Linked DNA regions of Caenorhabditis elegans. The protein of the gene in region 2 interacts with the protein of the main gene of each other region in a pairwise test. Each region holds a gene or a part of one and is shown on either strand. Other genes may lie near its edges.

Region 1 (9,182 bases), on a different chromosome or scaffold from region 2:
TCGATTTCTTTCTTTTTCCTACATCAACTATTACTCATATTTTTCTTGATCTTTCTTCTGTCATATGATTTTTCGGGTACTATAGGATTTTAGTTTTCAAGTTTTCACACTCAGACATTTAAATATATTTCTAGATTCTCATAAATGGGTCTTGCCACGACTGTTCCGTATACCTATTCATGAAATACCGTATTCGGTTTATGCTTTTTTTCAATTAAGCATTTTTTAACATGTTTTCATTTTTCTAACAGTAAGACAATATAAATTTACTTCATTCCAGTATTCCAAAAAAACACTTATTTTTTTCCAAACTTACTTTTGTCAAACTAATCATCTACTTTTCACATATCCATCTCCACATACGTGAAAATGTGAATAATTCTTAACTTACCATGGAATTCGTAATTTCATGTTTGCTATAAATTTGAACCATATTATTATGTGTTATTTCTGCTCATTTTTTATCGAACGTCATTCTTAGTTCCTCAGAATAGTATCGCTTTCTACTATTTTTCCAAATGCATCATACTTTATTAGCTCAAATTTCATTCATTTTCGGAAGAGTATTGTTTGCGGGGGATGTTTTTTATTTACAAATATGACACTATTCTGGGAATCTCTACAAATTGGCATTTTTCCAAAATGGTATTTTTCTGTTATAGCCTAGAGATCCTACACATTTTGATGCTCTTTTCATTTATTTTGATCTATTTTTCCTCCTTTTTTGAAGTTTTTTTTTGTGTTTTTATTTTGAACAAATGTTATGAACAACTGTGTAAATATGATCTCAAAACTTTGTCGTCACTTGTGAAAATTTGTGATGATTCAATCGGTTCAAATCACTTTGCCAAAACTACATATGTTTTCTCGGAAAAAAAAACCGTTGTTGAAATTTTCCACAGATACACAAAAACTCCTAAATGCAGAGCCTACACCTGCCTCTTACCTACTCTAAAATCTGTTGAGTGAACCATAAGACATTTAAAGTTGAGCAACAACTTTTTTGGGAAAAATAAACATTTTGGAAATTTGCAAGCAAAATATGTGGCTTTTCACAAAAACTAGATTACAAAAAATACTTTCATATTTCTCAAAATTCTTAATCACTTTCTTATAAAAAATTTGTAATGTTATAAATTTTTGAACTTGTTGTATGATTATCGGATTTTAAATTAGTAGTATACTACTTTTTTCCAAATATAAAGATAGAATATTAATAATCTTCTTTCTTTTTAAAGTTTTTATTCAAAGATACTTCTAATGCCCCCGAACAAACTCTAAACTCTATTTTGCATCTTATTGAACTTGGTCATTGTGATCTGTTTCTATTTATCTGTTTTCTCAATAGACTCTCTTTCATTGTTGCATTCCTTCATTCCAATCTTACCGTTCTATTTGTTTTTTTTTCATCACAATTTTCCATTTTGCAAGAAAGCCTGAGCCTTCTCCCAACTGAGCCTGAGTGCAAACTCGTGCCAGAAAAGGAGTGGAGGCGGAGGTGAAGATTGTTTGCTCCCGAATCTCTGTACTTGCCCTTTTTCTCATTTATTGACTCTTACTTCCTCGTTCTTCAATATTTCCAAATCATTACAATTTCTTCAAATGTTCAGATGAATATATGGCCGTTCCTGCCGCCTCATCGATAGTTTCATACGGAGGAGCAGCCACTTCTAACTTTTTGACAACACCAGTTACACCTTTTCTTGCGGTAAGTTTACTTCTTTTAACCATAAATGTTTAATTTTTTAATTTTTTTTTGAATTAAGAACGTTTGGAAGTTCAAGCTATATGTACTCAAAATGTGAAAAAACCAAAAATTGAAATATTCATACAGTAACTTAAGAATCTGACACCTCTATGTTTTTTGGAAAAAATTATAGCACACTAGAAAATCTAGGATAATGTTTTTTTCTCCCACAAATTGATTACTTTTTCAAAGTTAAGATATGAACTGAAACTTAGAAATAAATTTTCAGGGATTCTATAATTCAAATTTTGTAACCGATCGTATAAATTCATGTGCTCCGTATCGAGTGGACCGGATCAGAGTGAGTTTGAAATTAGAGATACAGTTGTAAACTTGAAAATGGTTTCCAGAAACAACTACAAGATGAAGAAGAAAATGGGTATCCACCTGCTGATGAGTGAGTTTTTAAGCTTTTCAAACTTTTTGTAACAAGGGATCTCGGATTTTTTACTCAATTCTTGAAATTTGTTTTCTTTCACAGGGCAACGACAATTTATCAAAAACAACAAAAAACATTTTTTTAATCGAAGTGATCATGATCAAAAATTAAAACTTGCCAATGATTTCAAAGGCATTGCGTTTTTGACTAATTTCTACTTCCAGCCGTCGCCGCGGAGCCCTGTTTTGTCGTTCGGGAACCTGGTTGGAGATGCTTCCTATCGAAAATCCTGACGATGGATCGACACGTGTCAAAGTTCATGGAACAAAAGAGGAGAGTTCCAAATTCAGTATAGTGGAGTTTGTGTCAGTGGCAATGAGTCTTGTATCGATTCGAGGAGTTGAAACAAAGAATTTCATTTGTATGGATCCATCGGGGAAATTATATGCAACACCATCATCTAATTATTCAACAGAATGCGTTTTTCTCGAAGAAATGATGGAAAATTATTACAATTTATATGCGTCTTGTGCTTATGGTGACAGGTTTAATCCCTGGTATATTGAATTACGACGGAGTGGAAAACCAAGGAGAGGTCCTAATTCAAAAAAACGTCGGAAAGTAAGTGAAATATATACTCATTCTGCTTTGACAGCTCGTATCGGAGATATTATTACATTTTAGAAAAATAATTTTTAAAACCCGATTAAAGTATATTTTCGAGCATATGTTCGCAAGAAAATGTGGTTTTTACCAAAAATTAGAAGCTCGAGGTCTGGAACGAGCGAATATTTCCTGATATGTACATTAACTTTTCTCTCGTTTCAATAAGTTCCTACCGTACTCGCGGCTACTGTAGCTAGATACATAAAGAAATCCGTGTGCACTTTTTTTTGATTGAAATACATTATCCGTATATTTCAGGCGAGCCATTTTCTAGTTGTTCATCACGATCTTGACCGGTTACGAAGTCCCGTTCCAAATGGAAATGTGAGTTTTTTCGAGACATACAGTTTCAACTTTTTGATTTTCAGGACGTAACCGATCTGGTAGTTGCTTCACTCTTTCACCAACCTCCCAGTCATCCATTATTCCGACAGCAGACCGTTACAAAACCACCAAATCCACATCGTATTTCAAAGTAAGCATTTATATCAAAAGTATCAGATTAGAGCTAATGAAATTTTTGTAGTTTACGAGCAAAAGTGGAAATGACGAACCAAGCTGAGAAGCAAAGATTATTAGAAGAAAAGAAAAGACGAAGAGAAAAGAAGAAACGAAGGAGAGAAGATCGATTAAGAAAAGAGGAACAAATTAGAGAGTTAGTTATTATTCTGAGAAAAAGAAAGCGCAGAGAACTGAGAATTATTATGAAAGTATTGAAAAATAGCAGAACATTTTTTTGGTTTTTAAGATTTGAAGCCAGACTGAAATGGCTTTTTTTGGGTATCGTTCCGTTTCAGTTTTTGAGCGGCAAAAATAAATTCAATGCCAGGTAGCACAAAACTATTTGAAACATTTATGATGATTCCACGTGTGACTTTCCTAGATCTATACCAATTATCAAACGTATTTCAGAGCCCGTCGCCAAGAGCTCAAAAGTCTTCGTGAAGAAGAACTCCGACGTCGTTATCAACAACAACAGCAGCAACAAGCATCTACTCAAACTCGGTACAATCGTCCTCAAAATCCAGCGAATCCTTATCCAACGTATCGACCTCTTCCAACAAGATCAACAGTACAATCTCCACGACCTGCATACAATCCATATTGGCAGTCTCCAGTGACACAGGCTCCTCATCACAATTCCCATCACCATCATCATCACCATCCACGTGTCAGCTCTTCATCAGACCCTCAACAACGTCATCAATCACAACAACACTATCTAGCTCAGACAGTGTCAAATCCAAACCGTCAGAATGTTAACTATCAACGATACCCGTGAACGATCTCTCTTCTTATGATACCCCGCACAGCATCTATCATCATGATCTTCTCATTTTCTTTCCATTTCTTCCTGCCTTCTTTTGCTTAATTAATTTTTTATCAGGGCTGATTTTGAGAAGAAGCGCAGTACATTGTCGTGAAGTTCGTAAGGCACGGTGCTTTAGAAATGAAACCCTTTCTTGTGAATATTGAAACACACAACGAATTTTCTAATTTTCTATTTCTACCTTCATAATATTTCTGTATTAGACTCTTAAAATCACACCATGCTCTAAATACGACAATTTGCGTACACTACTGTTTTTCTTCCCAAGCTCGCCCCTTTTAAGTATGTTTTCCAAGTCTCTCTAAAACACCCCCAACTCGCCACGTGTCTCATTCCATACTCACGGGTTTTGTATTTTGAACATACTGTAACTTACTATTATGAATAATATATATTTGAAAAATATGTATTGTTATTTTAAAAAAATTATCAATGGAGCGAATTTACAAAGACAGGTAATTCAAAAACTTAGAGACATGTTCTCAATCCAATTGAATGAAGGCTTTGCATCCAAATATTCAGCACCAATAACCCATGATGGATTGATCGAACGGATTTCATCGAAAATAAAATGATAATCGATTTCTCCGCGTGTATCACATGCACCTCTATTTGGAACTTGAGCCACTTGAATATAGCCTGAAAAACTCGAAAAAAATCGACGAATGAAAAAGTAATTTCAGAAAAATAGGGCGTAAGCTTATTTTCATCATCATCCTTTTCAACTAACCAATATAATCTTTGAGCTTTCTCATAATTGCTCCAATTTGTCCGTTGATTTGTTGAGCGTGGAATGTGTCCTGAAAAATTACAGTTACTTTTCGAATTCTTATTTTCAAAAAAAATTGTGCATAAAATTCGATGTTTTATGTTCTATTGACTTACATATTGAATTTTCAAATTATTCGATTGATCCATTTGGATCACATCCATTGCATCTTCATAATTATTTAAGTGATATCCAGGAATAGTGTACTTATTGATTGGTTCAATGAGGCATATCAACTTGTGCTCCTTGAACTTTTCGGCGGCAAAACGCACATTTTCAGAATAGGTCTGATGAGCATTTTCCAAGTCATCATCCGATTTCGGAATTCCAGCCATTACGTGAACTCTGAAATTGTTTAGATTACTGTAGTTTGCACCGTTTGAAGTATTAATAAGATTTGAAAGACACTACGTACTCAATACATCACATCCAATGCACATTGTTCCTAATTTGAAATCCCTCTTTCCTCAACTGACCTACAACATCCAAGAGCCTTCGCATACTCAATCGCAGTATCCAAACTCTTTCTAAACTCCTTTTTCGCCGATTTCAAAGAAGCCAATCCTCTAAATCCGTCATCCCAATTCCCGGGCGGTGCATTGATCAAAGTATGTTTAAGATGATACTCATCAGCTGCTTCACGAAGTTTTTCGGCTGGCTCCGTGTAAGGAATGCTCACTTCGACAAGCTTGAAACCCGCGGAGGCGGCTGCTCCGTATCTGAAAAAAATTGTGTGCAAAATTTAGAAGAAGCATGTAAAGTCTTTTTTTTGACAATTTTTGCCGCGAAATTACGGTAGCCGATCTCAAAGCCAATTTTAAATGTGCGGATTTCAAGAGTACTGTAGTAATGAAAATTCGAATTCCAACACAGAGAATTTTTAGTTGCAATTGGAATTTTTAATGCAAGAAATATCGGGAAGTGACAACTACAGTAATCCTCAAAGGCGCAACATCGCTAAATTTTCAAATATCCGATAGCAAAACTAAAAAATGAAATTCCGGAGACAAACCTTTGCAGCAATGGCAAATTAGTGAACAACATGTTCAGATTGGCGGCAACTCGATTCGTCCCACTCATGTCTTTTTGATCGAAATGAACTTATTTTCACACGTAAATAAACTATTTATATTTGTGTATTTCTGTATATGATAACAAGACTCCAAAATAACAGAGATGGCGTGGTTTATCGTAAATCGACAATTGAGAGAGATAATAAGAAGAAGAAGAGACGCATAGAGGGTGAGAGCAAAGTTCAGTTTTGTGTAAATTGTCCTCGAGAACAATGAAACAAGATTCAATTAATTGAAAAAGTATAAGAACCCGTCTAGAATATATTTGAAAAGTATTAAGAGTTTGGGGAATCTGAAGCTTAATGTTACAGTAAAACAGAGTACTAAGCCAAATTATTTGCACACTGAGCACGATTTTCTGCAAATAATTGCTCGAACCTCTCGTCGTTGGCAATATGAGAAAAGTGACCAAAACCGGCATCTCCATGTTAGATCTTCACAGGGTTCCGTCTGAAAATAAATAGAACAGGAAACAGAATAGTACATATTGGGTCGGTGTACCTCACAACCTTGATACATGAAATGCGAAAATTTTAACTTTCAAAAAAAATTGACTTTCAAACAGGCGGCCTTTATAGGCAAGCATGAGGTGTGCGCGCCTACATCAGGCGTAGACGGCATTGAAGTCAAGCTTAACTAGGTTAGAAAGAATTCTGACACTATAATTGACAATATTAATTTACTTCAGTTGAAAATTAATTTTCTTAATGTTTCCTATTTATTTTTCTTTCAATATTTGTGCAAAGTATTAAATTGTGAAGATAATTTATTAGATTGATTAGACACACAACACATTTAAAAATACACACATACAGAACCAAATAAGAATTGGCAAAAAGCAACTTGAGAAGAGAGATCAAATCCCGTTAAAACACACACAGAGAAACTGAAAAAGACACACAAGAACACATAAGTTAACCAAAAATTCGAATCATCCGACGATTGTTAGTTACTTGGTTAGATGTTGATAGAGGCAATCCCGCGTATCGCGACTGAAAAATTTTTTGTTTTGTGTGGAAAGAGATATATTTTTTGCACTACGATACTTATTGGTTTTCAGAGAGTAGGCGGAGCCAAATAACATCGGAGTACAGTTGCGAAAATACAGTAACGTCCGTCATATGAAATGAACGGGGTACTGTAATAAGTGCGAGTGCGAAGACAATGGTGAATCACACGCACTGCACACAAAAACTAAGGATACACAGCAAAAGCGCTTTAACGCTACCGGCATTAGTATGATAGAAATGATAAAAGAGATTGATGATGGGTAGGTGTGCTCAAACCTGAGGATGATTGACAATTGAATTTGAGTTGATTTGATTGTTGTTGTTATTATTATTGTTACCGGAGACTCCTGGACAATTGTATAGCTTATTGATCTTTCTAACGTCAATGTCAGAAAACTTGACACGCTGACCCATACGTTCGGACCCAGACTAAAATATTAAATTATATCTTCTTGTAATCTGCAGAGTTTGTCTTACCTTCTTTGGCACCAATGTCTTCTTTCCGGATCCACTGAATGCGTATGGTCCGTAATGCATAATGGAAGCGTAGTCATATGGTTCATCCAAATGGGAAATCACATTCAAGTTGTATTTCTCAAATTGATCATCAGCGCCGTTCATCACATTCTGCCAGACTACGTCGATATAACTGTCACGGTCTTGTCTGGAAGTCGAGTGAAATCAGAAAAAATATTCAAGGCAGAACACGCACTTCTGTGCAAGTTTCCGAAGTTCGGCAGAGATTTTTTTTTTTCAAGACAAAGTTTTCAAAGTTTGACAGAAAAATTATATTGTGTTAATTTCCCAGTTAAATTCTTGAATTAATCAATTCAGGAAAAAAACAAATCTACATGCCAAAGGGCAGGCAAGTAGGCATAAAAAGGTTTGGGGTAGGCACGCACTTCTGAAACAAATGTCCCAGATTTTCAGTACTGCCAGAAGTTGGTAATAGGGTTTCCTGTTCATTTTAATGAACTTCTCTCCCATTTCTCAAGGCAACATTTTTACCAATTCCATGTGAGATATGGCTATATTCTCTTTACCTGCTCTGCTCATGGAAGAACCCAACAGCATGCATCAGCTCGTGAACAATTGTTCCAACTTGAATACATCCAGAATCCAAAGACACTGGCTGCTTTCCTCCGGTTCTAAATTTTTCTAGTTTGTCACATTTCTCTCAGTTACTACTCACTTTCCAACCAAACTGTAACATCCTTCGTCTGGATGAATCCATAGATAATCGTGATGCTTCGATGGATCTCTGGCAACGAATTTGACACATGTTTTTGTATGATATTCGTTCATTGCGTTGGCAATCACACTTCTTGCATAGGAACCGTATTGTGAAGACAGGGTGTATGGAATCTCGTTATTTGGCCAACGTCTGAATTGAGTTGACATTATACTACTGTAGTGAACATGAAAAATCGGTAATGTCAATTTTACTTTGTCAACCTCTAGAGGATTTGCCACAATGTAGCTCCAAAAACTTGAAATTTTCAACTTGAAAGTTTATACTTTAAATATGGAACTAAACATTCACACCTGTATATTTGTTTAATCGCATTTCGTCCCAACTTATTGTTCTCCTCCACAAATTTCTTAGGGCTTTCCAACAAAATATCTCCCTCACTGTAGTTTCCAATAGTTGGATCGTCTTTTACTTTTATTCCTGGAAAGTTGGAAATTTATATTAAACAGTTAAAAAGTTCTTACCAAGAGTCTGCAAATCGTATCTCTGGTGTAAATCACTATGGAAATCAGCATCATTCAGTGTCGTTTCGGTTTGTGGTACAGATGTATCTATTACCTAAAAACAATAAATTGGTACAAATTTAGTTGTGAAAATAGGAAAATAATTTTAGAAAATGCGGAAATGAACACAATGTTTTGTGAGTGAGAACTTGGGTTTTAACTGTACAAACAGAAAATATAAAGCCTCAAAAAACCCTTAGTTTTGTGTACTTTTACGCACCACTAGAGATGGTTCACTGGTCATCGAATACTGGTCAAATAGGTTGAAAAATGTTGAGTTTTTAGGGCTATGGCTCATTTTCTGAAAATGCAAAGTTTGACGATTCGAAGTGGTCTGGGAATTAGGTTGTAAACTACAGTAATCCTTAATGGCGTGCAAATTAAAGTGACTATTTCATAACCTGCCAGACTATAAAATCTCTCAAAAAAAGCTTCTTAAAATTCGGATTACTG
Region 2 (17,536 bases):
TAATTTTTGATTACTTAAAAGTCCTTTACAAAATTTTGCCAAACGACCAGTTTGAAAAATAATTGCGTTGTTAATTTGATCTAAAAACAGATTTAAAGTTTGTTTCTTCATTTTTTCCAAGTAACTAACTACATACATATAATTGCACCCTCTCATTCGTTTTTTTAAAACAAAAATTCAGAATGAATATTTTTTTTCTAGTAATTATTCTAACTAATTACTGTGTCTCTCGTTCTTTTTCCTACAATTTTCATTTTCCCTCCTCTACACGTTTTTCTCTTCGCCCGTAATTTCCAGTCGAGTGCTCTTTTTCCAACTCTCCATCCTCTCTTTGAGCTTCCCGTTGCTCCCAGAAGAAAAGAGGAAATTCGTTGGAAAAAAAAACTTTCACTTTTCTTTCTTCCATCCTTCAGAAATAGGGAGAGGAAAAGAATCGATGGGTGTCTCTGGGAGACTCTCTGGTTTCATATTTTATTTGACAAACCGGGACTCACTTTTTCGTAGAATAAAAGGGAGTGAGAGATGGAAATGGAAGAAGAATGGAAAAATGAGAAGAGCTACACGAATTCTGTTGCGAATATGAATAACACGAGAAAAGGAAATAAAAAAGAAAAAGAAATAGCTCGCAAAAAAAACTAAATTTGGCGGGGGAATCTGAAGATTGGGATAAATTTTTATTGACTGTGGAAAAGTGACAATTACTCAATTTTGCAAAACTTATCTTAGGTTTCAAATATATATATATATATATATATATATATATATATATTTTATCTTAGGTTTCAAATACCTAAATTTGAACATTTTTGGAAATGATAGCAATACTCCAAATTCAACAAAAATTCCAATCTTCGAAGGGTTCAATTTTAATGTTTACTTTTTTTTGGAATGTTATGAGAGTATTTATAAAAATTCCAGCAGACAATACTTCGCCTTTGAATAGATAAGAAACCGCAAAAATTGCCCAATCCTAAAATTTTATCCTAATTTTTTCAGCTCCTGATAATCGGAAATTCATCAGTTGGAAAAACATCATTCCTCTTCCGTTACTGTGATGATTCATTCACTTCTGCCTTCGTCTCTACTGTCGGAATCGATTTCAAAGTGAAAACTGTGTTCCGTGGAGACAAACGAGTCAAACTTCAAATCTGGGATACCGCCGGACAGGAGAGGTACCGTACCATCACCACCGCCTACTATCGTGGAGCAATGGGATTCATTCTGATGTATGACATCACTAATGAAGAGTCTTTTAATAGTGTTCAGGATTGGTATGTTGAGCATGGTTTTAAGAAAATATGTATCTTGATTCATTTCAGGTGCACTCAAATCAAGACATACTCATGGGAAAATGCTCAAGTTGTTTTGGTTGGAAATAAATGTGATATGGACTCTGAAAGAGTTGTATCTATGGATAGGGGACGCCAACTTGCTGATCAACTTGGTAAGTATTTTGAGAAAAAATTGTGCTGAAAAACGAATTTAATTTTAGGTTTGGAATTCTTCGAAACATCAGCCAAGGAGAACATTAATGTAAAGGCAGTTTTTGAGAAGTTGGTGGAGATTATTTGTGATAAGATGGCAGAGAGTTTGGATAAGGTATGGTTTTGGAATTGTAGATTTTTTAACTTGTTTTTATTTTTGAAAAAAAAACGTAAATTTTATGTATATAGAAAATGGCATGATAGAGATTTATATTCTAACGGTCTCATGGGCCTCATGATTTCCTGCATCTGAAAATTTTAGTTCGCTTCAAAACCCGGGGCATTATCTTTTTTTGAAAAACATTGCAATTTTTGTAAACAAATTATAATTTACAATTTATGTTAGTTTATAAAACACTTCCTCTTAATAAAAATCTTATTAAAAGTAGTTTTTTCAGGACCCACAGCAACAGCCAAAAGGACAGAAGCTCGAAGCGAATCCGACCCAAAAGCCTGCTCAACAGCAATGCAATTGCTAAAAATTCTACGTTCTATTATACTATCTATAAAAACTCAAAATTTTCCCAAATTCCAAACGCAATAATATTAATTTTCTAAAAGCGCGTAGCTCTCAGTTTTCCCTCTCTCAACATCTAGGCACCAGATATATGGATCGTAAATTAACTTATAAATCGAATTTCTATGATTTTTTGGAAAGTAAGTTTTTTTTTAAATTTAACTTATTTTATTTTAGGGCGTAGTTGGTTTAATTATCTTTTCAAATCCTTTTCACTGTCACTTATTAAGTTTTCATTCAGCGCTATTTTTATTAATATTTTAACTTATTCCAACGTTCAATCATATTCCCCATTTGTAAAAAATCAACAATTTCTCTCAACACTTCCAAACAATTCCCAGAGCTGTGTTTTCTAACTAATCATAGTCGCCTATTATTATTATTATTTTATTTATTGTATTTCTCTATTTCCTTATTTCCTAGTGACTTCCCAGTTCCCAATGATTACACCCACCCGCTGAAAGATTGATTTTGGAGGAAATTATTTTCGAGGCATAATAAATTATTTATTACAAAGAGATATTTCGAGTGAAAACATGTTCAGATTGTAGAAGGAATGGTTCGTAACCAACACTGTGGGTTGATGGAAGAAGAGATCGGGCGAAGAGTTCCAGAGGTCTGTAATTTCAATTATTATATTTTGAATCCCAAATTTCAAAATCTGACTCTGTGAATTCGATTCCAAAATGACGGAGAAGATCGAGCAATGGAGGTTTGTGAGAGTGTACTGACATTGGAACGCTGAAATTGTATTTTATTGGATGTTTCTACTATTTTATCGATTCCCTAAAAAGTGTGATTTTTGATTCTAATCATGGCATAGTGTCCTAGCACGAGCGAAACTTTTCACCCTTCCGTACCCCCACAAGTACTGTAGAGTTGCACTTTTAGTAATTTTACTGATTTGACTTTGAAAAAAAAACAAAAAATGATTGAGAAAATAGTGATAAATGTAAAGAAAATTGGGTTACGGTAACTGAAACATTTCTTCCGTCGCAGGACCCAAGATCTCGGTTTGTGATAAAAAATCAATTTTTGCAAAAAGTTAATAAAACGCCACCTGGCAAAAACAAAATTCTCCGGCAACTCAAACTTTCTCATCGAATCCTTTTTCTTCGCCAACATCAGTGATTCAAATGGAACTTTATGTTTTTGGTTATCAAAATCATAAACTGGATCTCCTTGTGTTGTGATTTTCAGCAATTTCCAAGTGGCAACAACTTCCATTCCCCATTTATCGAATCTTTCTATCATTTCTTCCTCAATTCCTATCCGATTTGTGATCCAGAAAGCAATCAGAGCATCATGAGTTAATATGACAGGAATATCGAGACAATCTAGAACTTCTTCGTCCATTTGATATCTGGAAATAAATGCATCTGTGGAGTTTCTTGAAAATTTCAAAACGCACGTTCGTTTTCGTTTCACTGATTTACTGAACCATGGTGGATCGGCAATGATCAAGTCGAAGAGGAGATCTGGAATCTAATACTTTAACATTTCAAACAGGAATTTGAAAGCTAACCATGTGCTCTTGAATACTGTTCAATATCCTTCACATCTCCAACATGAAATGTAGATTTAGGAGGTATATAGAATTTTGTTCCGTCTGAATTTTCAATGATACCCGGCTTGTCGCCAGAGCACCGTACCCAATTGTTGATCATTCCATTCGACATTAAATTACTCAAGGATTCTGATTTCTGGAACTCGATTATTTGCTCTGAAGATGCAGAAGCACTGGGGATTGACACGTTCAACGCTCTGAAATATATAAATGTATGATATTTAGTTTACAGCATTTTTCATCCACTAACGTTTCCGCAGCTTTTCTGGATTTCAAATTATTGTCCAAGATTGATTTTTTCTTAAAAATTTTTAATTCAGTGCCAACATTTTTAATCTTTAATGCCATTTGTTCCATCCTATTTGAATTTTCTGAAGTTTCTTTAATTTTTCTTTTTCGATTTGAAATTCCGCGACGCTTGATGGCTTCGAATTGCGAATCGGGCATAAATTTTGAGCTGATCTCATATAATTCTGAGCGAGTTTTCAGATTTAGTTCTTTGAAGACTGAATCGTAGTATTTCTCTTCATCAAGAATCGCAAATTCTGTGTCCATGTGAACTATTGACATCTAAAACCTCATGTTCTGCCAAAAAAAAGCTCATTAACAGGTGATGAATGTATTTCCCAAAGACCCAGAATCTGTAGACATACTGAAAGGGAATTCGAAAAATGCAAATTTTTATTATTTAAAAAAAAAGACCGAGATCAGAACGATGAATTTCAAAATTATGCATCAATGGATTGGGGGAACTTTGGGGAGAATGCTCACAACACATGAATTAAAGTGACTACAATTGAAGAAATGATGAATAAATATGAACAAAAAAGATAATAATTGAAAATAAGATAAATTAAGATGAGCTCAATGGTGCTCACCAATGAGTGATTTTATAATTACAAATATTCCGATTCCAGCGGCCACGAATAGCGACTTGACGAGTGAAATCCAATGAGAAGAAGAATGATTTGAGTGTGAATGAGTTGTGTCAGCAATAACATTCTGAAAATTGGGAAATCAGTTTTTGAAATAATAGTTTTTGAAATAATTGAAATAATAAAATATTAAAAAAAACTAACATGACTATGTCCATGACCTCCTTCTCCGCTGTCATCTGAATGCAACTCCATTGGAAGAAGCTCAACAAGAGCCACGTGTACAAAAGTTCCTGCTGCTAATCCTTCAAGCCAATATCTTCCAATTCTTTGCCACATGTCGTTTTCGATTCCGTCAATCTAAACTTTTCAAATTTAAAATTTAGAAAATATCGAGTTGATAAAAAATATACCGTTGTAGCGAGAATCATTCCAGCTGGAATTGTAGCTGACAAGAAGATTGATGAAGTCCATGCATACTTTCTTGAAGCATTATGCTTTGCCAGTTGAACTCCATACGAGACACAACACAGCACTTCATGAAAAAGGACGGCAATCAAAATCTGCCAAAACGCGTTTGAATCATTCTGAACGCCGAGAGCAACTCCTTCGAAGAATGAATGAACTGACATTCCAAGAAGAAGAAACCAGACACGAATGTTCATTGATCCACCGGGGGCAGTTCGACAATGTCCTGATGAAGGTGCATGGTGATGAGGGCTCGTGTTCTACAAACGTTACAAATGAAATTTGAAGAAATAATGCTTCTTGGTGTTTTTTTTACTGTACTCAAAATGACACAAAAATGCATTTTTCAAAATATTTTCCAATTTCAGCTAAAACCTCTTTTCCGTGTCATAGTGGATGGCAATTGATATTTATTTAGTTTTTGTTCTACTATGTAATTTTTTTTCCTTGATCCACGATAATGATATGCAAAACAGAACAATATTTTTTTTATAAAAACAATTTCCGTTTGCTACAACACGGAAAATTTGGCAAAGCTTAAGATTTTTTCTAAAATTAGGCTCTTTTGACCATTTTTGAGGTTTGAGTAGAATAAAGCAAATATAACTTTTGATCGATTTTCTTATTTTTAAGGTATGTACCTGTCGGAAAATAATTTCATCTGCATCATCATCCATTGCAACAAGTGGAACGTGATCCTCTCCTTCTTCCTCCTGAAAACTTTTTTTAAATATTAAACCCGGGAAATTCAAAAAACAAAAGCTTACATCGTGGAACTTGTTCATTTTAATTGAATCACTTGTTGCCAGTGGGCTGTGTCCTGAATGTGAATGGCCATTTCCGATTGAATGTCCGATTCCGTGAATGATTTGCTCAGTTATCAAAATTATCAGGAATCCAATAATAACTAATTGATCAGTCGATGGAATCCATCCATAACTATCAACTATCGTCTGATTCCCTCTTAAATGCATTTCTTGATGTCTGACATGAGGGACAAGTCCGAGGAAACACGTGGCAATGAAGACACCGCATGAAGCACATCCCAGGAATGAGATTGATGTTTTTGAAGCGTTTCTGAAAAAAAAAATTTCTAGTTTTCATTTGTTATTTTGGAATTTAAACTGACACACAACATGTCCTTAGAAAAGTGTACGGTATCGATGTTGAGATCAGAAGAAGAATGAAAACAGCAAAAGCTGATGTTGTCATAAACAAAAATTGTTCCATTTTTAGTGCATTTTCTGAAAAATCTGCTTAGCGATTTTGATTTGGTTGGACTTTTTAAAAAATACAAGATCGATTAAAAAACGATTTGGAAGTTATTCAATGCTTGCAACAACAAATTATTTTATTGGACATTACTAAAATCAGAAGATCAACAATAAAAATGGGATAACTGTAAGAACAAAATTTTGAAAATCGAAATCCATAACAAGGAAAAATCAACAATGATGTAACAAAAGTTCATAAATTGTAAATATAAAAATAGGCTTAACGTTTGCTTAACGTCTTCCGCGTCCACCGCGTCCTCCTCGTCCACCACCACGACCACGTCCACCGAATCCTCCGCGTGGAGCTCCGAACAGATCATTGAAGCTGAAAAAAATAAAATAATTTCAGGAAAGACCGATGAAGCTTCTTACCTCTCCTTGTTGTTTCTCTTCATTCCCTTCTTCTTTCCTCCATAACCGAATTTATCCGATTTCAGTTTTCTTTTGAGTTCTCCTGCGTTTCTCATCGATCCTCCTCTTCCAGCTCCACCTCTTCCGGCACCACCTCTTCCTCCTAGACGGTCACCGAATGCTCCAGTCGGTGCGTCATCATCCTGATCAAGACCATGTCTTTTCACGTTGTTCAGCATATCTTCCAATTGTTGTTTCATTCCCTTTTTGTGCTTCTTCACAGCTTCTGCGAGGTTCTTTTTCTCTGTATTCTTGGCAGCGAGAACTTCCTGAAAAAAATGATATTCATGTTCAACGATTTTATTTTTGTAAATTCTACAAAACGAATCAGAGTAAATAGCATGTTTTACCAATATTTTAAATTTAAATTTAGTGATGGAAAATAGAAAAAATGTTTTATCTGGAAATAGATTTTTATTTCAGTTTGAAACAATTGCGAAGTGCTCAAAAACTGTATCAAAGTTGGATATTGCTGCAAAAAAATTTTATCCTGCAACTTTCAACTTGCAAACATTTTTGAGTGTTTGTCCAATCGAACCATTAGAAATTAAAGTTATTTTTCCGTTATTTTAATTAATTTTTAGGCTGAAATTTTTCTGGTTTTTTGAACAACCATTACCTTCTGAACCTTAACAGCAAACTTTTTCTCTTCACGAATACGGCGGAATGCTTCTTGTCGTTCCTTCATTTCTTGAATTCCGAGAAGTCTCTTGCGAACTTTCTGCATATGAGTGTCACTCTTTGCCATCTCTGCATAGTAATCTGTTGGTCGCAGAACTTTGATACCAAGATTCAGAAGACGTGGATAGGCGATTTGAACAGCTTTTTCAGCTTGCTTATAGCTTTAAAAAATTAGAATTTTCGAAATTATACAACCCTCGTGCAACTTACAAATTCAACTCTCTTTGGAAGTCGTCATTTTCCACTTTCTTGTCCATTTCAGAATGAGGAGTTACCACTTCAAGAGTCTCAACCCATGGAAGATCTTTTGTGATTTCAGCCAATTTTTCTTTCATTTCAGCACTTTTGTTGATGATCGGACGCTTTTTGGCTACTTGAATGTTGAGTCCATCTTTAAGAAGACCAGCAGCGAATGCGGCTTGGAGCTGCAATCAGTTTTTTTTTTTGAAAATACTTTTTAAAAAAGTAATTCTCACCTCTCTTTCATCGTCATCGCCGTCTGATTCAACCTCTTCGATATCCATCGCTTCCATTGGTTTTTCCTCGATAGCATTATCGAAGTCAAATTCGGATCCGTCGGAATCGCTCTGAAATTTTGAATTATTTTTTAAAACAAAGTATTTTCCTCACTTCTGGTTCCGGTTGACGACTTTTTGAAGTGCTGGCGAGCCGCTTGGCGAGCTTATTCATTTTACGAACCATCTGAAATCGATAATCAATAAATCCATTAAAAATTAGAAAAACACAATTATAAAATATTAAAAACGCTGAAAACGTTTTCTTTTGAAGATCGAAGAATAGTAAAAAATTAACAAATTATTATTACAAACATTCACAAGAACAAGAAAAATATAATACATGAAAACAAAAAAATTATTAACAATTATTATTGCACATCGAATCGAGCACCAATGAGAAGACGGCTGGCTGAAAGTTTTTAAATAATTAGCTTGCACTAAAAAATTAACAAAATAAATAGTATTTTAATACATGAAACTTTGACAAGAAACATTTTATATCGGTAATGTGTCTTCCCAAAAAACAGCCAATAAATTCTTGGCCGAACTGCGGCGCATTGAAATTTCTCTTCCACAAAAGATTTCTCGTTCATAATGCTGCGTCCAAACCCGAAAAAATCTCAAATGTTCTTCATTTTTTTAAATTGAACTGATAATTGAAGAGAAAAACGATTATCGGAAGCAGCATAAAGATATATTGACCCGAAAATTTACGAAGAGACCCCCAGAAAACATTATTTAGATTGAATTTTCTCTTTGAACAAACACATGAATAGGTTTTTAGTCTATCAATTGATAAGAGTCGGAGTGCAATGGTATGTGCGATGTGACTCATTTTTCTTCGATTTTTTGTACAATAAGAAACAATTTTTCAGAAAAATTTAATGAAAATGAATAAGTCTAAAGATCGAACACCTACAGTATCCACGATTGAGAGCTATGGAACGTAAGTTTTAGAATCAAATTTCTATGATATCTGTACTTTACAGAGATATGCCGCATGAGCATTATCGTTACTATAGAGAAAAAAATATATGTGGCATTTCTGGACCAATATGCTTTTGTTCAACTCTGATCTTAGTGGGATTTTTGATTTTGCTAGGAATTTTGGCGATAGTTATATTTTTCATACTTCATCGTGAGTACTAGACGTCCAGTTCTTAATATTAAGCATGTTCTTTACAGATACGTTATGAAACGAGTGGTCAGCTTCTCACTATCAACGACAAAATTATATTTCTTACTATTCTAAACCCTAAAAATGGATTTTCAACGTTTATACATGAATGAAAACATATTTTACGCCTATTGTTTGATTGGAATGAATTCTAAATTGATTTGATGTTTTAAAACTTTAAAATACTCACCATTTTTGCGGAGGAACGGGCTGAAACTTAAAATTATTTGCAGAAATTCGAAACTGAAAACTCTGTTTTGAATTGCCGCTTGAGTAAGATCCGCAGGGTGACACGCAGCGCACTGACCGCAACGCTCTAGACGACACTTGCGAGCATAGTTTTGAATGTGAACGCAGCGTTCCCGCACTGTTTTTATTGGTTTTTTGCATGTTTCTTTGTTTTTTTAAGTATTTATTAAACGTTTATCTCTCTTTACGATATTACGACATAAATTATTTTCTATCTTCTTATTCGTTTTCTTTTTTACAGGGATCTATCATTTAAGCCATGTCCTTCTTCAACCCACCAGCAAACTCCAACCATGGTTACAATGACGACGTCAATACTGGTTACAATGCCCGAATGCATTCAAAACTCGCCGAAAGAGAGGGATTTCATCTCGGAAACGGTTCAGATGAACCAAGAACTTTGTAAGTTGGGTACATTGGAAAGTTTCGAATTTCTTGTTGAAAATTGTCAATTAATTTACTCTTTTGTTGCAGGTATGTTGGAAATCTTGATTCGACAGTCACTGAGGACTTTATAGCGACTTTGTTCAATCAAATAGGATCGGTTACAAAGACCAAAGTTATTTTCGACGTAAGTTTTTCGCTTTGGAACAAGACTAATCTTTACAGAAAACTCTTGCTTGCTCGCGGTACGTATGATTTTTATCCGCTTTTATTTTTACTTTTAAATGTGAATCTTTTTGATTATGATGTTTTCTAATTTCACAGGAATTGGGGTACCTGGCTACAAATGCACAAGGCGGCAACCAATCCACACCGACACTGAGACAGTGTATACCTTTTTCTTTTGAATTTTTTGTTGTTTTAATTAAGTACTAAGAGGAAAACATGCGTTTTGAATAGATTTTCATAGAGATTGAGAGAAAACCCGGGAAATCAAAGTATTAGTCAAACGTTTTCATTTCAGGGTTCTAATGATCCATATGCGTTCGTTGAGTTCTCTGATCATGGACAGGCTTCCCAAGCTCTTCAGACGATGAACAAGCGACTTCTTCTTGATAGAGTATGTTTTATTTGAAACGACAAATTAACTCCTGTATAAAAAACAAAATTTCGATATGATTCCACTGGGTTCCGATGTAAAATTTGTATTTTTTTAAGTGTTAGCAATATAGTTTATTTGCTTAAAAAATTAAATTTCGTTTATGTGTCATAAATAAAAAAAAGTAAATGTGAAAACCTATTTCAAAATCAAATTTGTTATTTTCAGGAGATGAAAGTCAACTGGGCCGTGGAGCCGGGGCAGCAGCAGTCAAAAATTGACACTACCAGACATTTCCACGTTTTTGTTGGAGATCTCTCGTCCGAAGTTGATAACCAAAAACTGCGCGAAGCTTTCCAACCATTTGGAGATGTTTCGGACGCCAAAGTGATCCGTGACACTAACACCACTAAGTCAAAGGGTTATGGTTTCGTTTCATACCCGAAAAGAGAAGAAGCTGAGCGTGCTATTGAGCAAATGAATGGACAATGGCTCGGAAGAAGAACTATCCGTACCAATTGGGCTACAAGAAAGCCAGGAGATCAAGAGAAACCAAGCCATTATAATGAAAAGTCATACGATGAGATCTACAATCAAACTTCTGGAGATAACACTTCAGTCTACGTCGGAAACATTGCTTCACTTACTGGTAAGTCAACAAAAATTTAATATTTTATAATACTTTCATTGAAAAATTCTAACGTCGAATTTATAATGTTTTTTGCAGAAGATGAAATCCGCCAAGGATTCGCCAGCTTTGGACGAATTACCGAAGTCCGCATTTTCAAGATGCAAGGATATGCATTTGTGAAGTTTGACAACAAAGATGCCGCTGCAAAGGCTATTGTCCAGATGAACAACCAAGATGTCGGAGGACAGCTTGTTAGATGTAGCTGGGGAAAAACTGGAGACGTAAGCGTTTTGATTAATTTTTTTAGTAAGGAAAATCTTATTTCAGACTGGAAAAACTCCTGGAGGATCTTATGGTTACGGTTATGGAAACTCATCGTCTGGAGGAAACTCACAGCCGTACTCTGGATATGGTGGTGGCGGAGCTTACGGAGGTGGTCAAGGAGGAGGAGGCCATGGAGGACCTGGACAACAGCAATCCAATGCCAACAGTCAGTATTGGCAATACTACGCCCAATACTACAATAATCCTCAACTCATGCAACAATGGTCCAACTACTGGCAGCAACAAGGAGGAGCTCCACAACAACAGAACTCTGGAGGACATCAATAAACTCCAGTATTTTTTAAAAACATTTTATATGTGACCCTATTGCCCCCGGATTTTGTCATTTGAACTTAATTCCAAGTTCCACCCATACCTTAATTTGTCCGGCTGTGGCCTTTCTGTCAGTTTTCTCTTTCTCGGCATTCTAACGCACTTTTCTATTTATGATTTCCTTTTTTTCTATGTATTTGTTATAATACTTCCCTTCTGAAACAATCTGTTGATCTTTTGACAATCATTATATCAAATTTTTTTCTGTTTTTTTATTTGCTTCCATTACGTGTCCATTCCCCACCCACACCACTTCATCACCTAATCAATATGTCTAGATTCAAAAAGAAAAAATGCACACAAGCAAACCCCTAAATTACACTGGTAGATTACAATGTTTCGTTTTCTTAATTTTGCAATGGCACGTATTCTTATCTGGTTCTGTCTTTTTTCGTTTTTTTTCCTGTTCCTGAAGCACAATAATAAATGCGAGGGTAAAGTCTTATTGAGTTCGAAAATGTTTATTTCCATTTCTGGGGGTTGAGGTTCTACACGTTTTGGGATTTTTAAATTTTCGGTTGTTGCAAATTCCAGCAAAGACATTTTGCACACAGGACGAACGGGTGAGACAAAGGGATGAAAAGTTAGTTGACATCAGTTGACTAGAAAATGCAATAGAAAGTGGAAGAGGATCACGGATTGAGAAAGTAGGGGGAAAAGCTATTGTATATGAAGAAAATGATAATATTCTCAAGTGGTCGACTCGTCAGTGTCCACATCAGTTATTGTGCTCCGCGCAGAGCTCATCGATCGGCAGCTTGGATGTTTGTCAAAGAATGATGATTTTGATGGTTGTAGAAGTACAGTGCTGATTAATGTGACACAGAATGCTTCAATTACTGTGAAGAAGTTCTTCCAGTCTGCAATTAAATTGGATTTAATGATAATTCGATTTTTTTTTTATTCAATCGCGAAGTTTTGTGATTTTTACTCCGAAAGTACGGTACCTGGTCTCGACACGACAAATTTTTGTTAAATGCGAAAGGATGTGGGCCTTTAAAGAGTGGTACTGTAATTTCAAACTTTTTTTGCTGTGTACTTTCTATTACTTTTCCAGAGAAAAACTAAGAAAAATCGATGAAAATCCCGCAGCAACGAAAGTTTGGAATTACAGTACTCTTTAAAGGAGAACACCTTCTCGCATTTAACAAAAAATTTTCGCGCCGAGACCTGGCGCAAAAATCGCAAAAACTTCGCATCTGAGTAATATTTAATTCAAACTCACAGAAAGAAGTCTCAATTGCTGGAAGTACAGTACCACATCCAAATGCTCCATATCTCGCGAGAAAATCAAAAACTGGTTGTTGCAATCCGAACACCATGAAGAAGAAATCAAGAAGACGGAATACAACAACATATCTGTACGAGATTAATTCATCCTGAAATTTAATGAAAAGTTATAGAATAAGCTTTTATTTAATTCTTACCATCCGAGAAACCGTTGTGACTAATATGTGAGTTCCGTAGATTCCTGCCAAAAGAGATGGAAGTGTGATAAAGTCGAGCACTTTTAGTGGGCTGAAATGAAAAATAATTATTAAATGGAGATATCAAATTTAGAAATTTAGGAATGGGCAGACTTTTAGAAAAATAAATTCAGTTTTTCTTCAATAAGTAGATTGCTTTAATGGCAAATATGTCAGAAAATATTGAATAACTCGGGGGAGAATTGCAACATTCTCGTGGATACTGTAGCCACAACATTTTCTTTTTTTTCAACGTTTTAAACAATATATTTGGAAGCAGCAGGTTTCTGATTATCAATTCCATTTAGAGTTTTTGAAATTACTCACACAAGGCCCTGATCTTGATATTCAAAGTAGATTACAAGCGAGACAAGTGTGGCAAATAAGCGAACGATCGGCGCTTGCATTACCATCAGCTCACACCATCTTATCTTTTTTCTGTAAATAAATATTCAATTTCAATTCTTCTTCTATTTAATAAACGAACCCTTCCAGTCGGACTTTTGGAAGACATGGAAATAGGCAACAGAATGGAGGTGTTGCTATCTCAACATACTGTAATCGCTGCATCATTTTCGTGACAAGGGCATGATGTCCATCGAATATGTGTAAAAGTAGACATATGATGACCCAGAGAGCAAACGAAAAATAGAGAAACGAGAGAAGATGAGACAAAAACCATACACGTGGCATGTACATTGCCACAAGTGCAAGTAGGGAAACTAGCTGAAAGGAGAACGAATTGAGTTCGAGGGTTACAGTAGCTAGAAACCTACCGGCGCAGTGCATGCCAGAAGCACAATGTGCAGTCGTCTACTGGAATGTGTGATGTAGAAGTGAATGTAGATGAGATGTAGAACTGCAAGGCATACTGTACCCACGGTTACTGCAGTTGCCACGGCCAGCGAGGCAATATATGTGGTTGTGAGCGCTGAAAATTCATTACATTCAATAAACTTTCAAGGAAAGTTAAACACAAATCACGGATTAGCTAAGTTGGAGCCTCTAAAGTTTCAAAAGTAAAAAAAACATATAAATTCTGACCACAACATTCTGGCATAGGTGCAATTGTAGGCACTGGAAAAAGAAAACTCACATCTAAGAAATGTTTTTGCATGTGGTACATCTTCATGAGTTCCTGTACAATTGAGTAATGAATCTGTCAAGAGCTTAACCAACGTCTCCCATGGTGATATTTCCAGCATTTTTTGATTGTTTTCAGTTGAGTGTTCGCAAATCGATCGATTTCAATTCGTGGTGGTGTGGCGATTTTTCTAGAAATGCAAATTTTTTTGATAAAGAAAGAAGAAAAAAGAAAATAGAAAATACGAAGACTTTCTGTTGAGAAAAAGAGTATCACGGGAAAGAATATATTTTATTTTCCCCCCGAAAACTGATCATTCTTCACTTTTCTATTGGCCATCAAAAACATAAAGTTGTATGTATGAGAGAAGGGAGGAGAATCGAACATTTTATGTGCTCTGCTGAAAGTTTAAAAAGTGATGTTAAAAAGCTTTTAATCAAATTTCAGAACAGCTGAAATTAAATTAAAAGTTTCCAGTACACGTCGTCCACATGTGCGGAGCAAGGGTGTCAATTTCCCGTAAAAATTACAAAAACGGGAAAACGGGAATTCCCGTTCCCGTGAAAATTTTAAAAACGGGAAAACGGGAATTCCCGTTCCCGTGAAAATTTTAAAAACGGGACAACGGGAATTCCCGTTCCCGTGAAAATTTTAAAAACGGGACAACGGGAATTCCCGTTCCCGTGAAAATTTTAAAAACGGGACAACGGGAATTCCCGTTTTTTTGAAACACTCAAAAAACGGGACAAACGGGCGGTTAAAAAAAAAAGAGTGCACAGTTGGCGCAAATTTTAGTGTATTCGAGGCGAATTGATTAAAAAAACTGCATGTAAGTCATTAATCTGCATGAATTTAAGTCTTGGTACAAAACTCAAAAACAGAACTTTAAAATTTGAAACAAAATCATGAGGAAAATTGTCCCGTTCCCGTGAAAATAAAAAAAACGGGACAGCGGGAATTCCCGTTCCCGTGAAAATTTTAAAAACGGGAAAACGGGAATTCCCGTTCCCGTGAAAATTTTAAAAACGGGAAAACGGGAATTCCCGTTCCCGTGAAAACACCCCAAAAACGGGACAACGGGAAAATCGGGAAACGGGAATTGACACCCTTGGTGCGGAGCAAGAAAAAATGTCTAAAAATTGTTCATAGCAGCGACTAGTCATGATTTCAGTACGCTTTTGAAGCGGATTTTCAGTCGGGAATATCCACCTTCTAGAGATTATCCTCACTTGTTCTCAAGCCCCACAGAAAAAATCCGAAGCTTTTGGAAAATATATTTGGAGTACATTAGAACTGAATTTAAATAATTGAATTCAAATTATGATTGAATTTTTGATTGTAACAGTTGTACATCTTTTTCATTTTGAACGATTTAGAAGCAAACATTTTTAAGATGAATATTCTTTGAAAAAATTAATTCCAAAATACAAAAACCCGCTAAATGGAAAGCCACCTTCAAGGTAATAAAATGGTATCTGATTGTGAGAAAAAATTTCAGAAATTTAAATTAATATATTTTTTTTCAAAATAAAAAGCACTACGCTCATCAAAACACATCAGTCACATGAAAACGACATTGTAAATATCCTTACCATTTGTCAACTTTTCAGTTTATTTTTTCACGGACCAAAAGCCGAACACAGAAATGAGGGGTGAAATATTTTGGAAGGAAGGATGGAGGCTGTTTGCGCAACTGCATGAGCCTCTTCACTCTTTCTCTCTTCCGCAGTTTGAATCTCTTTCATGGAGTTGAAACGAACGAAAAAAATAGAAGAAGAAGAAGAGCCGAAAAGTTGTTTTGACTGCCAAAAAAGTGAAGAGGAAACGAAGGAAAAGAAGAAGTGAATAGACACGAGAAGGCTCTTCAAAAGAGAATTGCAACACAGAATAACTTAATTTGTGTTGACTGGATCGTCCGAATTCGTTAATTTTTGAAAAACTCGATTTTAACGGAAAACATGGAAGACAGGATGATGTCAATATGAGGTTTGATCGGTCTATACAAAGATTACACCTGGCAGTTACTTCTGACAACAGAATCAAATGTAACTAAAGAGGTTTTCCAAATTCGTTTCTTTCAATGAAAAAGGTTCCTAGAATATATTTATTTATTGTTTCCTAGTTACAATTACTATATTCTTCTTTTAGAAGTAAATAACCCTCAAAAGTGATCAAAATTAATTATTTTTGAATATTTGGAAAAGTATCTGCATGTAGTGCTCACTTTCAAAAAATTTCCAAAAGTTCTAGAATTTAAGACAGTTATTTTTCTCTGGATGTTCATGTCATTGTTACCAAGTCTTGCCACAAACAAGATATTATTCGGTCGACGACGCGCGAAAAAATGTGCGTCTTTAAAAAAACAGTACCACTAACTTTGACTATACTTTTATTTGAAAAAAAGCATGAAAAGTAAAAACACTAATCCCTCCGGACAGACAAAAAAAATAACTCACCGAAGAAAATCTTTTGTGCTCTTTTCTTCTTTTTTTTTGTCGGGGCGCTTGAACCACTAACCACCTTGAGCCATGGAAATGGGCGGAGCCTTTGTTCTCTGGAATACCAAAAGGAAATTGTGCACTTTTGGAGTTTAAAGAGGGCGAAGGGGGTCAAACGTAAAACGGTTCGGGTCACGAAGACAAAACGAGTGAGAGAAAGAGGAAAAGAGGACTGGTCAGTTGAAACGGGAAGAAATCTTGTTTGTTTTTGTATTGAAGAAACATAAGAAAACGGACGAGATTGAGAGGAAGAAGAAGAAGATGGAGAATTGAAAAAAAGACATGGTTTAGACGGAAAAAAAATTGTTATTCTGTTGTGATGAATAAAATTATGGGCATTTCTCTTGTTATTATCGGTTTTCGAATATATTGTTTCATTGGTCATATGGTGGTCAAAACACACAACTCGTGGGATATTTCGGGAGTTTTATCCTTTTCTTTTTCCGGAAAATTCAAAAATGTTTTTTTGCTGTTTGTGAAGTCAATGTTTTAAAATTTTGATAACTTTTTCCAAGCTTTAACTTGTAAACATTATATCTTGTCCAGCTGTACTTGTCTTTCGTGCCACCATCACAACGACACCTTTGCCAGGTGCTAGAGTATTTTTCTTGAATATTTATTATGTCACTATATTTCACTGTAGGGCTGTTACAGAGCCGCAGCTGGTCCTAGAGAAATTCTACGAGTTTTTTACAAAGCCAAAGCAGTAGAAAACAAATTGGAAATAATTTATCTTTTAGGAAAAAAGGGAACTTTGTAACTATTAACCTGTACTTTGACGGGCCATATCTTGATTATTTTTGGTTCTTTCAAAAAGTGTTCAATTAGCAAAACATTGGTTGAATCTTTTTCTATACCTATCTAGTTTAACAATTGTCTATCAATGTGCGAATAACTGATATGAGAGTTTACAGAGAATGCCTATGTGGGAGTGATACTAGTCTAGGAAATGAGGAACTTTGTAACTACAGACTGGAGAGCCCTATTCTGTAATTTG

Evidence for each region.
Region 1: the proteins of C18A3.3 (region 2) and let-756 interact in a two-hybrid assay, tested with the Caenorhabditis elegans proteins (one study listed by BioGRID).

The regions. Positions count from the first base shown.
Region 1 is NC_003281.10:6,405,519-6,414,700, forward strand, and holds let-756 (Protein let-756), read left to right. Parts: upstream 1-1,610; 5' UTR 1,611-1,618; coding exon 1,619-1,708; intron 1,709-1,976; coding exon 1,977-2,048; intron 2,049-2,097; coding exon 2,098-2,144; intron 2,145-2,350; coding exon 2,351-2,747; intron 2,748-3,050; coding exon 3,051-3,116; intron 3,117-3,160; coding exon 3,161-3,267; intron 3,268-3,318; coding exon 3,319-3,447; intron 3,448-3,704; coding exon 3,705-4,074; 3' UTR 4,075-4,515; downstream 4,516-9,182. Other genes in the region: C05D11.5 (Putative hydroxypyruvate isomerase), read right to left, coding at 4,583-4,761, 4,853-4,922, 5,008-5,236, 5,368-5,610, 5,904-5,971; nas-4 (Metalloendopeptidase), read right to left, coding at 6,298-6,414, 6,918-6,956, 7,251-7,403, 7,452-7,638, 8,018-8,122, 8,167-8,358, 8,520-8,646, 8,691-8,784. UniProt on the Caenorhabditis elegans protein: Required for larval development. Probably by binding receptor egl-15, negatively regulates membrane protrusion from body wall muscles during larval development.
Region 2 is NC_003280.10:5,706,750-5,724,285, reverse strand, and holds C18A3.3 (putative rRNA-processing protein EBP2 homolog), read right to left. Parts: upstream 7,980-17,536; coding exon 7,908-7,979; intron 7,865-7,907; coding exon 7,754-7,864; intron 7,703-7,753; coding exon 7,488-7,702; intron 7,439-7,487; coding exon 7,216-7,438; intron 6,866-7,215; coding exon 6,558-6,865; intron 6,511-6,557; coding exon 6,417-6,510; 3' UTR 6,248-6,416; downstream 1-6,247. Other genes in the region: Ras-related protein Rab-3, read left to right, coding at 997-1,271, 1,320-1,444, 1,493-1,599, 1,883-1,963; damt-1 (DNA N6-methyl methyltransferase), read right to left, coding at 2,511-2,619, 2,668-2,742, 3,062-3,364, 3,413-3,479, 3,527-3,765, 3,819-4,123; zipt-3 (Zinc/iron permease), read right to left, coding at 4,433-4,570, 4,648-4,803, 4,857-5,171, 5,553-5,624, 5,679-5,988, 6,041-6,141; C18A3.10 (uncharacterized protein), read left to right, coding at 8,686-8,741, 8,785-8,933, 8,981-8,991; lelo-4 (Late ELOngation arrest), read right to left, coding at 8,036-8,204, 9,163-9,362; Cytotoxic granule-associated RNA binding protein tiar-1, read left to right, coding at 9,481-9,623, 9,696-9,792, 10,129-10,224, 10,432-10,852, 10,931-11,115, 11,162-11,446; osta-2 (Organic solute transporter alpha-like protein 2), read right to left, coding at 12,182-12,351, 12,717-12,870, 12,919-13,009, 13,285-13,395, 13,445-13,683, 13,734-13,888, 14,054-14,162. UniProt on the Caenorhabditis elegans protein: Required for the processing of the 27S pre-rRNA.